3 linked regions of the Macaca mulatta genome follow. The protein of the gene in region 3 interacts with the protein of the main gene of each other region in a biochemical or structural test. Links are inferred from orthologs where the notes say so. Each region holds a gene or a part of one and is shown on either strand. Other genes may lie near its edges.

Evidence for each region.
Region 1: the proteins of PPP1CC (region 3) and TLX1 form a complex in vitro, tested with the Homo sapiens proteins (2 studies listed by BioGRID). The link is inferred for Macaca mulatta from reciprocal best matches to the Homo sapiens genes PPP1CC and TLX1.
Region 2: the proteins of PPP1CC (region 3) and PPP1R9B form a complex in vitro, tested with the Homo sapiens proteins (2 studies listed by BioGRID). The link is inferred for Macaca mulatta from reciprocal best matches to the Homo sapiens genes PPP1CC and PPP1R9B.

Annotation. Positions count from the first base shown.
Region 1 is NC_133414.1:113,194,309-113,198,827, forward strand, and holds the start of TLX1 (T-cell leukemia homeobox protein 1), read left to right. Parts: upstream 1-1,208; 5' UTR 1,209-1,606; coding exon 1,607-2,192; intron 2,193-4,256; coding exon 4,257-4,458; intron 4,459-4,519. UniProt on the Homo sapiens protein: Controls the genesis of the spleen. Binds to the DNA sequence 5'-GGCGGTAAGTGG-3'.
Region 2 is NC_133421.1:59,860,324-59,864,842, forward strand, and holds the start of PPP1R9B (neurabin-2), read left to right. Parts: upstream 1-1,446; 5' UTR 1,447-2,006; coding exon 2,007-3,380; intron 3,381-4,519. UniProt on the Homo sapiens protein: Seems to act as a scaffold protein in multiple signaling pathways. Modulates excitatory synaptic transmission and dendritic spine morphology. Binds to actin filaments (F-actin) and shows cross-linking activity. Binds along the sides of the F-actin.
Region 3 is NC_133416.1:117,907,961-117,912,379, forward strand, and holds part of PPP1CC (serine/threonine-protein phosphatase PP1-gamma catalytic subunit), read right to left. Parts: intron 3,807-4,419; coding exon 3,576-3,806; intron 1-3,575. UniProt on the Homo sapiens protein: Protein phosphatase that associates with over 200 regulatory proteins to form highly specific holoenzymes which dephosphorylate hundreds of biological targets.

The sequences.
Region 1 (4,519 bases), on a different chromosome or scaffold from region 3:
GAGAGAACAGAAATGAATAAGCCACTCTCTGTCTCCAAGATCTCTTCAAGTGGAGGTGACAGACATGCCCAAAGCAAATAGATTGCAATAAGACTTGATGAGGAGAGAATGTGAGTCTTCACATCCTAGCATCTTTCCAGATAGAGACGGGGAGTACTCAAAAGTCTAATCTGAAACTGAACTGAAATAGACCAGAAATAGATCCCAAGTGATGGAACCTGTGCCTTTCCCAAAACTTGACTTCTAAAAGGTAGCAAACATTTTCTACTGGAGAGGGGAAAGAGAGGAAGAAGAAAAAGGGAGTTTCCTCCTTTTCTCTTGGGCTGTCAGCCAGACTGCCACTGGCAAAACGTTGGAAAGGCCTAAATTTGTCCTGGATGCACTTTCCTGATCCTAGTCCTACCAATCCCAGCCCCTACGGTCTTAAGCCCCTATGGCTTCCTCCCAAGATTCCAAAAGTAAGAAAATAACACACACCACAGTCCAAAGTCTTCTTGCCTGGAATAGCCAACCCTGGGGTAATTGTTAGGTGGAAAGCAATCTGGTTGAATTCATTCAAACACTGTAGGAATTGCCTCTTTCAAACCCTGTAGGGTTTTACTTCTTGAGGCATCTGTTTATTCAAAAGGAAAGGCGTGTGTTGAGGCATGGGCACCCTGGCAGCAGACCCCAAACCAACCCTCTTGACTTGTGCCTGCCTTTCAAGAAATGTTCCCTTCCTGAATTTCTCTAAGAAGGCTGAGTTGGGGGATGGTTGCTGATTTTTATAACATATAGCCAGTTGTTCATAGGCCTGTGTTTTAAAGAAGGACAAGCCTGAACTCACCGTCCTGCCTCAGGGCCTGGGCTCCATACCTGGGGAGTAGACAGTCTTCTACTTTCTAACAAGCTGGACTTGAAGTTTGGAGTAAATCTCCTGGTTGAGTGACAGGTGTTTCCCAGCTGAGCCCTTGGGGAGATTCTCCAGTTGGGTAGGGACATCCCTTCCCCAGACGCCTTGTGGGCTGGACTCCTTTGACCCGGTTCAAAGTGAGGGGATGCCTACCAACAGGCCGGGAAGACAGTTGACTTCACCCTCCTTGAGTTTGTCTGTCTGTCCGTCTCTGGGAATGGTCGCTTCTTGTTTTCCCTTTTCCTTTTAAGCCTCTCCTTTTTCCCCTCTTCTCTCTCCTCATGAACTACTCCGAGTCTTGGTCTCCGTCTCTCTATCTCTGGCTCCTGCATCTGTCTCGGCTTCTGGCCTTCCTCTCCCCCTCCCCTCCCCTCCCTCGCGCTGTCATTCACCCCGCTCCTCTCCGCGCACAGCCAATGGAGAGACCCGGCCGAAACCGCGAAGCTCTCTTGCACCGGGCTTTTTCGCCTGGTGATTGATGTCCCAGAGTCAACAGCGAGCGGAGCCGGAGCCGGGAAGCAGAAGCCAGAGAGGGGAAGAATACGGCCCCCCTCTCCCTCCCCTCCCCCTTCTACTTTAGCCCTTCTGCGCACTTCGCTTCCAAGTCTCCGCGCAGCCAGGAGCCGCTGTTGCCTCCCAGCCCCTGCTAGCTGCCCCCGGAGCCGAGCGCAGCGAGCGCCGCCGCCCGGGCCCCCCCGTGGGGCCGGGGCTAGCATGGAGCACCTGGGACCGCACCACCTCCACCCGGGCCACGCAGAGCCCATCAGCTTCGGCATCGACCAGATCCTCAACAGCCCAGACCAGGGTGGCTGCATGGGGCCCGCCTCGCGCCTCCAGGACGGAGAATACGGCCTTGGCTGCTTGGTTGGAGGCGCCTACACTTACGGCGGCGGGGGCTCCGCGCCCGGGGCTGGGGCTGGAGGCGCGGGGGCCTATGGCACTGGAGGTCCGGGCGGCCCCGGAGGCCCCGGCGGCCCCGGAGGCCCGGCAGGCGGCGGCGGCGCCTGCAGCATGGGTCCGCTGGCCGGCTCCTACAACGTGAACATGGCCTTGGCGGGCGGCCCCGGTCCTGGCGGCGGCGGTAGCAGCAGCGGCGGTGCGGGGGCACTCAGCGCTGCGGGGGTGATCCGGGTGCCGGCACACAGGCCGCTCACCGGAGCCGTGGCCCACCCCCAGCCGCTGGCCACCGGCTTGCCCACCGTGCCCTCTGTGCCTGCCATGCCAGGCGTCAACAACCTCACTGGCCTCACCTTCCCCTGGATGGAGAGTAACCGCAGATACACAAAGGACAGGTTCACAGGTGAGTCCGGCCTGCGCGCGCGCCTCGCCTGGCCGCGGCCCGGGCTCTGTGTTACCCTTTCCCCGCCGGCTGGCTCCCCAAAGCCGGTTCTGTGCGCCAGGTCGCCCACCTCTTCTTGGTGCTTCCCCCAAGTTGAGCCGCCCGCCCGATTCTACATCGCAGACTCGCCATGCTTGAAGAGTTCTCTCAGCCTGGACCCCTCTCTGTCTCCCAAAGGACCCCTGCTCAGAGAAGCTCTCCCTGGTCTCCTCTCGGGATCCCTGGGCCCGGTCAGGCAGAGAAGAAGGCCATAGATTGAGGACCACCTTCTGCAGCTACTCCGGGTCCGGGAATCTTAGAGAAAGGGGTGCAATGTGAACAGTTTCTTCCGTCCTGGCTGCAGTTCTAGGACCGAAGAAGCCAGCCCCAGGATCAGACGCAAGAAAAGAACAGGTTCCCCCACCTTCAGTACCCTGCACACATGCACTCCGCGCTCCTAGCTCCGGTGCCCGTGGTGCTGCGGGGCCAGCGGGAGCTCTGAGCTCCAGTAAATCAGCAGAACCAGTGGCCCTTTTTTTTTTTCCCAGAGAGGAGGCTTCGTCTGGGAGGATGGCAGCGGGGCATAGCCGCCCAGGACAGCTAGCTTTTCATTTTCGTTCTGTCCTGGCTGCATGTCCTACCCCGGGCCCAGCCCTGTTATCTTGGGCATGAATAATGCACTGGGCAGGCCAGTGATCGGTGGCGGGAGGACTACTCCCAGGACATTAGGTACTAGGTGGGCCGCTGCCGCCTTCCCTGCTGCCCACTCCTGCCTTCCTCTGCTGGCCCTGGCTCCCTCTGCTGCCGTTTCTGCTCTGGACACTCAACTCTCCCTCTGGTGTGGGTCCCTTCCCCTGTTCTCACTTCCTGCTCCCCTTAGGACTCCCTGGATCCCAGACCATGATCCTCCCGTCCCGGCTGGGAAGCAGCCACAAATTGAGCCCAGGTTAGCCAGCTGGCCTTAGAGAGAGGAGGCAGGAGACACTGGCTGCTGCTGGCAGAGACCGGGACTCCTGGGGATCCCCTGGCTCAAGGGACCAACAGTGGAAGGGGGTATACATAACTACTTGGGAGAAGCTGCTGAGAGTCAGACACTGGGCCAGGAGACCCCGAGGCACCCCTGACTCCCTGCTTCTGTTCCAGGCAGGAGCACGGTCAGGGAAACTGCTCCTGCAGCTTCTTACCAGACTCTGGGGCCACAGCAGAAGTGGTGTGGGGGCTGGTGTCCAGACGAAGAACAGTTGCTTGGGTCTAGACCTCAGGAAGGGCCCTCGCTGGAGGGGCCCCAGTGCCCCCAACCCAAGTTTTCTCTGGCCTGGGGCAGCAGGGCCTGGTGCCCATCCCATTCCCCACCCAGGCCAGGCCAGTCTTGAAGGGCCCTGCTGGAACCCCAGCCCAGAGTCTACTAATCCTGGGCCTCTGGTGAAAGGTACTCGGTTTAGGGCCTACCTCGGGGCCCTAATACTGTGTCAGGCATGAAGGAGTTTTGAGCGAGTGTATGGCTGTGGCCTTGTGTTGCTCTGTGTCCTGTGTTTTTGTCCCGTGCCTGTGCTTGTCTGGTCCTGTTTGGGTGTATAGATCTATGAGTTTGCCCCCGTTGTACGTTGTGTTGGTGTGTGCTGCTGTGGACAGAGGCTCAGGTCGGGTTCCAGAGTCAGGTTCGGTCTCCTACTCTGAGCCTGAAGGTCTGGGGCTGACTGAGGGGAGGGGAGCGTGACCATTAGCTCGCCTTAGACTGCCCCTTGGATGAGGGGCGGCAGGGTGGTGGTTGGGCTCGCGGGAGCCCGGGGCTAGGGAGGCCTCTGTGGTAGCTGCGAAGTCGGCGTTCGACTGGCGGGCAGGAGGGGGCCGTTTCCCGCCGTGGGCTTGGTGCTGAGGGCTAACGGGAGGATCTCGGCCCTGCTCGTGGGAGTTCAGCTGCTGCGCTCGCTGATTCGCGGGGTGTTGGGCCTGGGACGCTTCCTGACGCTCTGCTGCTTGCCTCTGCCGTCTGTCTGTCTCCCGCTCCAGTGGCCCTCTCACCCTTCACTGTAACACGCCGTATAGGTCACCCCTATCAGAACCGGACGCCCCCCAAGAAGAAGAAGCCGCGTACGTCCTTCACACGCCTGCAGATCTGCGAGCTGGAGAAGCGCTTCCACCGCCAGAAGTACCTGGCCTCGGCCGAGCGCGCCGCCCTGGCCAAGGCGCTCAAAATGACCGACGCGCAGGTCAAAACCTGGTTCCAGAACCGGCGGACAAAGTGGAGGTGAGCAAGCTGGGCGGGCCGGCAGCCCGCGAGCGGCGCGGTCTCAGGCAGCTGTCGGTTC
Region 2 (4,519 bases), on a different chromosome or scaffold from region 3:
TTCCAGCTCCAGCTCACAACCTAGCTCTTCCCTCCTCCTTAGCACCAGCCTCAGGATCAGTCCTGCCGTTCCTGGCCCCTCCCGATCCCAATATCCAGGGTTCCCAGGCGGCTTCCCCACACCCCATCCCCCACGCTGTACTCTAAGCTCTTTTGCACATGGTAACGCGTTAATATCCCACAAAACCCACACACACCCCTGCAGTGGAGCGGTAAGAGGGCTCCCTTTGCCAGCCCTTCCAGGCCAGGGGGGAGAGAGTGGGAGATTAGGAAAAGGAGGAAGAGGATGGAGGGGAAGAGGGCGGGGGAGGAGGCAGAGGCCGCAGAAAGGCCTGAGATGCAGGAAGCAGCTGGGAGTGGGGGGAGGCTTTGTGCCTGAGTTGTTCTCTGGGTCCTAGGGCCCATTGTGTTCACCAGTTTCTGGGATGTGTGGACTGAACCCGCTCACCTGGACCTGTCCAGAGGGTGGACCCTCACACCCAGGGCCCAGGAAGCACCAGCACCTTAGGTGTGTATGCGGGGGGTGCAGAGAGCATCAAACAGCTTTCTGGGTTGCCAGGACAGGGGATGTGTAGGTCACTGTCACCCTCCCCACCCCCCACCCCCACCGGAACACAGTCGCCAGGATCCTTTAAATCAGAGACCCAAGTTAGAGCTCTCACTGGGAAAACTTTGGCCCCAGGCCTCTAGAATTCCTGCTCCCAAACCCTTCCTTCCGGTTTGAGACGCAGGAGTGCCAGGGTAGGGGCCTGAAGACGGGTGCACAGCAGACAGGCGACAGGACATCCTCTCCAGACGTCTAAAGGGGCAGTTTTGATGATCCCCTGCTACTTGGATGACGGGGTCCACCTCCTTTCTTCACGACCCCTCCCCCACCATCGAAAGGTCACCAGCACTGGGCCAAGGTTTCACACCTCCAAGGGTGCCAAAGAGTCCCTGTAGTGAAGTGTTAAAATGCAGATTCCTGGGTTCAGCCTCTGAGATTCTCCTACACAAGGTTCGAGGGAGAGCTCAGAAATCTGTATTTTTACCAAGCGCCCAGCGATTCTGATGCTAAAGCCTTGAAGCACACCGAAGAGCTAGCTCCGAGGACCCTGAAGAATGAACCTCTGCCCCTCCCCACAGACCCCCCTCCCCTCACATTGAGACCATCGTGGATGTACTGCCTCCGCCCAATATTTCATGGGGGTGCGGTTCTGTGGGTTGTGATAAGCCGCAGTCAGAGGTTGTGATGGAAGGGTTGAAGACGGCTGGCCAATGTCCGGGGGCAGAGGAAGGCTCTCAGCGAAGGCTGGGGAGGGGAGGGGATCCGTTCGGGTGGAGGGGAAGGGGAGGGCTCACAGGCTCCGGCCCCGGAAATCCGATCCCTTTAGGACCCAGAGGTGCCAGTCCCCCAGCGGCGGCGGCGAGAAGGGCAGCCGCTCGGTCTCCGGCAGCCGCCGCTCGGGCAGAGCCAGAGAAAGACCGAGGCTCGGGGCACGGGGGGGAGGGAGGGAGGGAGGGAGGCGCGGCGGCGGAGCGGCCCGGGCCGGCGGAGCAGCCATGGGCGCTGGGGTGCCGGGCCCCCCGAGAGCCGAGGCCTCCGGCCGGACTGGGGGACGCCCGGGCTGCCAGCCCCACTGACACCGCCTCGGACGATGTGAGCCGGCGACGCCGCGGCTGCTTCGCGGGCAGGGCGCGCGCTCCCACCGGCCCCAGACGCCGCTTTGCTAATTTGGGTGGGGGCGACCGTACCAGGCCGCTTGGGCTTTTGAAGCGGGGCTGGCTGTCTTCGGCAGCTTGACTGGGGGAGGCGACCCACACACAGGGCGCTTGGAGATTTTTTTTTTTTCATTTTTTTAAAAAAGCGGGATTAACTGTTTTTGGCAGCGGTTTTGGGGGGACCCTAAAAAAGGCCTTCTGGGGTTTCTTTTATCGGGGGGAGGGGGCGGTGGTCCCGACTTGGCCAGCCGCCTGTTGAAGGGGGGGAGCGGGGAGCAAGGGGATGCGAACCCGGCTCCCCCCACCATGATGAAGACGGAGCCACGGGGGCCCGGGGGTCCCCTCCGGAGCGCCTCCCCGCACCGCAGCGCCTACGAGGCGGGCATCCAGGCGCTGAAGCCGCCCGACGCGCCCGGGCCCGACGAGGCACCCAAGGGGGCCCACCACAAGAAATATGGCTCCAACGTCCACCGCATCAAAAGTATGTTCCTGCAGATGGGCACGACGGCGGGGCCCTCGGGCGAGGCGGGCGGCGGCGCGGGCCTGGCCGAGGCCCCGCGGGCGTCCGATCGCGGCGTGCGCCTGTCGCTGCCGCGGGCCAGCAGCCTGAACGAGAACGTGGACCACAGCGCCCTGCTGAAGCTGGGCACCAGCGTGTCGGAGCGCGTGAGCCGCTTCGACTCCAAGCCCGCGCCCTCCGCGCAGCCTGCGCCGCCGCCGCACCCGCCGTCCCGGCTGCAGGAGACGCGGAAGCTGTTCGAACGGAGCGCCCCGGCGGCCGCAGGCGGCGACAAGGAGGCCGCGGCGCGGCGGCTGCTGAGGCAGGAGCGCGCCGGCCTGCAGGACCGGAAGCTGGACGTCGTGGTGCGCTTCAACGGCAGCACTGAGGCGCTGGACAAGCTGGACGCTGACGCCGTGTCCCCGACGGTCAGCCAGCTCAGCGCCGTCTTCGAGAAGGCCGACTCGAGGACCGGCCTCCACCGCGGGCCCGGGCTCCCCAGGGCCGCAGGGGCTCCCCAGGTCAACTCGAAGCTGGTCAGCAAGCGGTCCCGGGTGTTCCAGCCCCCGCCGCCGCCGCCGCCGCCCGCCCCGTCGGGGGATGCTCCGGCGGAGAAAGAGCGCTGCCCCGGAGGGCAGCAGCCCCCGCAGCACCGAGTGGCCCCTGCCCGGCCGCCCCCCAAGCCCCGGGAGGTGCGCAAGATTAAGCCGGTGGAGGTGGAGGAGAGCGGGGAGTCGGAGGCCGAGTCGGCGCCCGGGGAGGTGATCCAGGCCGAGGTTACGGTCCACGCGGCCCTGGAGAATGGCAGCACCGCGGCAACCGCAGCCAGCCCCGCGCCCGAGCAGCCAAAGGCCCAAGTGGCCCCGGAGAAGGAGGCGGCGGCGGTAGCGCCGCCAGAGAGGGGGGTGGGCAATGGCCGGGCCCCGGACGTGGCCCCTGAGGAAGTAGATGAATCCAAGAAGGAGGACTTCTCGGAGGCGGACTTGGTGGACGTGAGCGCCTACAGTGGGCTCGGGGAGGACTCTGGGGGCAGTGCCCTAGAGGAGGACGACGAAGAAGACGAGGAGGATGGGGAGCCCCCCTACGAGCCCGAGTCGGGGTGCGTGGAGATCCCGGGGCTGTCGGAGGAGGAGGACCCAGCCCCGAGCCGGAAGATCCATTTCAGCACGGCGCCCATCCAAGTAAGTGAGCCCCCCCTCCCCGCCCCCGCGCCGCCCCTGCCACGTGCACGCGGCCGCCCCCGGCTCGCCAGCCAGCCGGGTTTGGCAGGCTGAGTCAGCCCCTGCCACCCAGCCCCCTTCCCAGAAGTTCCCACCCTCAGGGGGGCGTGGGGGAGTTCCAGCTGTTTGTCAGAGAGGGATTTTCAGGTGTGCGAGGGGGGTGGCCTGCCCCGACCTGCCCTCAGGTTCCTCCGCCTGCTGCCCCGCCCCGCCCCGCCACTTCGCAGAACCCGTCCTGCCCCACGCAGGTTCTGGGACACCTGCTTTGCCTTCCTCGCCCAGACATTCCTTACTCCAGAGGCTGCCAGAGGCTGGGGCTTGGGTAGCGTGAAAGGGGTGTGTGTGTCCTCAGGAGAGATATTTGCCCTTCACTGGGTAGAGGGGGGCTAGGGGTGCTCTCCTCCTGTATGGGAGCTGGATGGGGTGAGAAAGGGGAAAGCCAGGAACTTCTCAAAACGAAGCTGCAGGGGACGGCAGCCCTTCCTCCATTCTGTTTGCACCCCACCCCAAGTTTGCAGAAGTGAAAGAGGGAAGCAGATCGTGAGGGTGAGCTGGTCTGTGGCCATGTGACTGACTGGCGCCGTGTTCCCTGGGGGTCCCTGCAGGCCAGCTGCCCCATCCTGGTTGCACAGGGAGGGGCACTTTGTGTGGTCCTTGATGGGGAGAGGCCTTCTGCAGGCATGGAGGGGAGGAGGTGGGGCTAGGATCCCCCTGGGTGCCTGGCAGTAATGGGCATGCCTTTGCTCTTGGCTGCTCAATAGGACAGACTCCCAGGGCCTTGGCAGGCCCCAAGTGTTCTTCCCACATTCTCTAGGAGCCCTGAAAGAGGGATGGGAGCTGCCCCTTTGGGAGTCTCATCCCCACTGCCACTATTGGTGGTTGGTTTGTGGGTTATGCCAGAGCTTGGAGGCCCTCAGAACAGCGCCGATGGGGAGGGGACATCCCCTGGGGGGAATCAAAAACCCCAGGCCACCCCTCCCCCCACTTCCCACCACCCTCCACTCTTGGCTGGCACATTCAGCCTGCAGGGTTCTTTCTCACCACCCCAGGCTCAGCTGCACCCGGCCCCAGGTCCGCCCCATGGAAGTGTCCAGGTCCCT
Region 3 (4,419 bases):
TACTACTAACCACCACCACCACCACAAGATGAGTATCCTTAATCCAAGATGCTCCAAAATTTGAAACTTTTTGAGCACTCACATGATGCTCAAAGGAAATGCTCACTGGAGCATTCCGGATTTCAGATTTTTGGATTAGGGATGTTTAACCAGTAATTATAACACAAATATTCCAAAATTAAAACAAAACAAAACAAAACAAAACACAAAACTCTGAAACCTGCAACACTTCTAGTCCCAAGCATTCCAGGTAAGGAATACTTAACCTGTATTATAAGAACAGGGCTGCTGCCTTAGCCCCCCAGTGATAGTGACTTCCTCTTTCCCCAAGGTCAGCTTCACTTCTGGATATTTTTTTTTTTTTGAGGTGGGGTCTCACTCCGTCACCCAGGTGGAGTAAAGCAATGTGATCTCGGCTCACTGCAACCACAGCCTCCCGAGTTCCAGGGATTCTTCTGCCTCAATCTCCTGAGTAGCTGGGACTACAGGTGTGCACCACCACACCTAATTTTTGTATTTTTAGTAGAGATGGGTTTTCACCATGTTGGTCAGACTGGTCTTGAACTCCTGACCTCAAGTGATCCACCCACCTTGGCCTCCCAAAGTACTGGGATTACAGGCATGAGCTACCATGCCCGGCCTTTGATTCTTTAGTTATGCCACAAACTCCAGTTTCTTCTCTTGCCGATTTCTGCTGGCCTCTCCATGAAAAATCAGTTTGCTTCCTCCTTTTGCCTCTCAGCACTTGAAGCGTGGGGCTGTCTCTTTCTCTTCTCTCTTCATATCCTCCCTAAGGCCACCTCAAACCACTAGGAACATCTGGGTCCTAAAAGGTTTAACCAGGGAAATCGTCTAGCTTCCAAATCCTAAGATTCTGAGCCATAACCTGTAATGCAGTTTCCCATTACTGTACATCAGACAGCTCCGATAGCAGAAATGGATCAACAAACACTCCTGTTTTACCCAACAACATATACCTCAGCCTTTTCATCACATTTGCAAAATTTAAACAAACAAACAAAAAAGAAATGGTAGTATAAAGTACTTATGTACCTGGAAAACAGGCAGTGGTTTTAAAATTGTCCCATGAAAATCAACATTTGAATACAACTTTTCATTTTAATAAAATTAATATATATAATATATATACTAAATGTCTGCAAGCCTTCAACCAGAAGCCACCTATGTCAAGGGCACTTTTATGCCCACAAGTAGACTGGATGGCAAATTGTATCTGCCTGATGGGAGAGAGGATGCTTGATCTATAAACTGTGTTGATGATCAAACAGGAGTCGAAACTGATACCAACCGACACTGATCTTCTAAGTCATTTTAAAGGCCTCTGCATTGAGTAGAAACTGAAACTGATGCAGCTAGTATCATTACGTTAGGATAGAAGTCACAACAATGAGGTCAAATGGATTTGAATTCATCAGTGCAAACATGAAAAGTATTTACTGGGCTAACAGTTATGTAAAAGGAACCCTTTCTTAACTCAAGAGTAACACTTGGAATAAGTATCCAAAACACAATGTTGCCTGGGTGTGGTGGCCCATGCCTGTAATGCCAGCACTTAGGGAGGCTGAGGTGAAAGGATTGCTTGAGCCCAGAAATTACAGGTTGTAGTAAGCTATGATCCTACCTCTGCACTCCAGCTTAAGGCTCTGTCTCAAAAACAAAAAACAACAACAAAAAAAACCCACCACATCTGCCTTGTATTTCACTACCTAAGGAGTAGTAACTGGCTTACTGGTACTTCTATGACACAGAATCCCTGTTAATATCGAATATCTTTCCTGTACAGGTTCAATGGTATCAGTCAGTCCAGAACCCACAGAATTTTTGTCCCTGATCATTCCTGCCACCTCATCTTACCAGCTGGATCTCAAGGACACAGACCAAGCAAACATCCAGTAGTGGGAAAGGGTGGTAGTAGAAGGGCTCAGTCTGTGAATATAATCTTTCTAGGATGCACTTCTAACAAATGTGCTAGCTCACTGCATCTATGTGAATTGAGATGGAAAAACACACATCTGGAGACTCTAAGTTAGGATGTGGTCTAGGGGAGGGCCACAGGGACAACACTTTGCTGATCTCCCTATAATCATATTAGCAAATGCCAACTACCTGAAGTTCCTTAACCACCCCTTCACTCCAAACCTGAAACCCCTCCTGGCAGAAATAAGCACAAAAGGAAGGTGAAGGTAAAGATTCAAAACCTTTTCTGACGTAAAACCCTTTATCAAACTGATTATTTTCAAAGTTTTTTTTTTTGATACGGAGTCTCACTCTGCCACCCAGGCTGGAGTACAGTGGTGTGATCTCGACTCACTGAACCCGACTCCCGGGTTCAAGCGATTCTCCTGCCTCAGTCTCCCAAGTAGCTGGGACTACAGGCATCTGACACCACGCCTGGCTAATTTTTGTATTTTTAGTAGAGACAGGGTTTCGTCATGTTGGCCAGGATGGTCTCGATCTCTTGACCTCATGATCCACCTGCCGTGGCCTCCCAAAGTGTTGGGATTACAGGCGTGAGCCACTGCGCCCAGCCTATTTGACTGTGTTTTGTCAATAGTCAAATCAAAGTGCACCTTTAAATAAACAATCCAAAATGAGTCATAAAATGCGTAAAATACTGTAAAAATAATCTTTGTTCAGCACATTTTAGTTTTAGGAAAGTTATTGCCATTCTTCCTGGGTGCGGTTATGCCAGAGGAGAAAAACCATAATAATTTCAAAAACTAATTATTTACACATTGCCAAGATTCTATTTGCATGCAATGTTCTCTAGCAGACAAAAAGTAGATTAGTGGTTGCCTGGGGGCTACGGTGAGATGGTCGCGTTAACTATAAATTTACTACAAATCACTGAATTGTATACTTTCAACAGATTAATTTTATGGAATGAAATTACATAATAAAGTTGCTTAAAACTATTTAGAATGGTTCTCAGATTTCTACCAAGAATTAAGTTATCTGTGAATACAACAATTTACATCTTAAAGAAACCACTACCATGATCATTATTTCCTAATCTGATCATCACATCATAAAAGAATCCAAGACCTTATTTTATTATAGCGGCAGTGTTCTTTTTCTACCCAAGAGAGAAAAAACTGGCTGGGCGCCATGGCTCACACGAGTAATCCCAGGACTTTTGAGTGGCCTAGGTGGGCAGATTCCTTGAGTCCACGAGTTTCAGATCAGCTTGGGCAACAAGGTGAAACCCCATCTCTTCAAAAAAATACATGAATTAGCTGAGCGTGGTGATGCATGTCTGCAGTCCTAGCTACCTGGGAGGCTGAGGCAGGAGGATCGCTTGAGCCTGGGAGGCAGAGGTTGCAATGAGGTTAAGATGGTGCTACTGCACTCCAGCCTGGGCTGTTAACAGAGTGAGACTCTGTTCCCCCACCTCCCCTAAAAAGCTAAGTTAAAAACAAGTTGATGAAATAGAAAACATGAGAGATGATACCACTGCATCTAAACTCTCACAATTCCTAACAGAAGTACGTGATAATTGTTTATGATAAATATCTTAATTTCAATAACTTCCTGAGATATAGAAAAGTACTTACATTCATCATAAAATCCATAAATTCTGTTGATGCTGGCACATTCATGGTTCCCTCTGAGAAGAAAAAAATTCTCAGGATATTTGATTTTGTAGGCCAGTAAGAGGCAGATCGTCTCCAATGACTGCTTTCCCCTGTCCACATAGTCCCCAAGAAACAGGTAGTTGCTTTCTGGCGGGAAACCACCGTACTCAAAAAGTCGCAGCAAATCATAGTATTGCCCATGGATGTCACCTAGAAGCAAGAATTTTGTTACACAGTGTTCCCATACTTACAGCTCAATCCACTAACAAAGCTTTAGAAAGAAATTCTTTAAAAATTCATTGTACAATGGCATTGACCTCTAGTAATGAGAGTTTAATTGGACAGCCAACACTAAGTAATTTCCAAACTGGCATCATATTTAGTTCAATTGAACTTAATAAAATTTTTAAGTATATGTGTATGTCCAGAACCTCACACAAAATTCAACTAATTAAGAATTTATTCTGTGGAAAGGGTTATTATGTCCAGGCATGCCTTCTTGCCAAGTAACATGGTATTCCTTTCAGGATGACTGATCAATATCAGATCCCTGATAGCTCAGTCTCTAGGTACTGTGTCAGCAGAACTGCTGCACTTTTAGCGAGCCTTGGCCCAGTCTGAGCAAAGCACATACACACATACACACGACCCCCACCCCCCACCCATCAATGCATTTAGCTTTCAATTGCTCCCTGCTAGATAATGCCAAAGAACATTTTACTTTTAAAAACATGAACACAGGCCGGGCGCGGTGGCTCAAGCCCGTAATCCCAGCACTTTGGGAGGCCGAGACGGGCGGATCACGAGGTCAGGAGATTGAGAC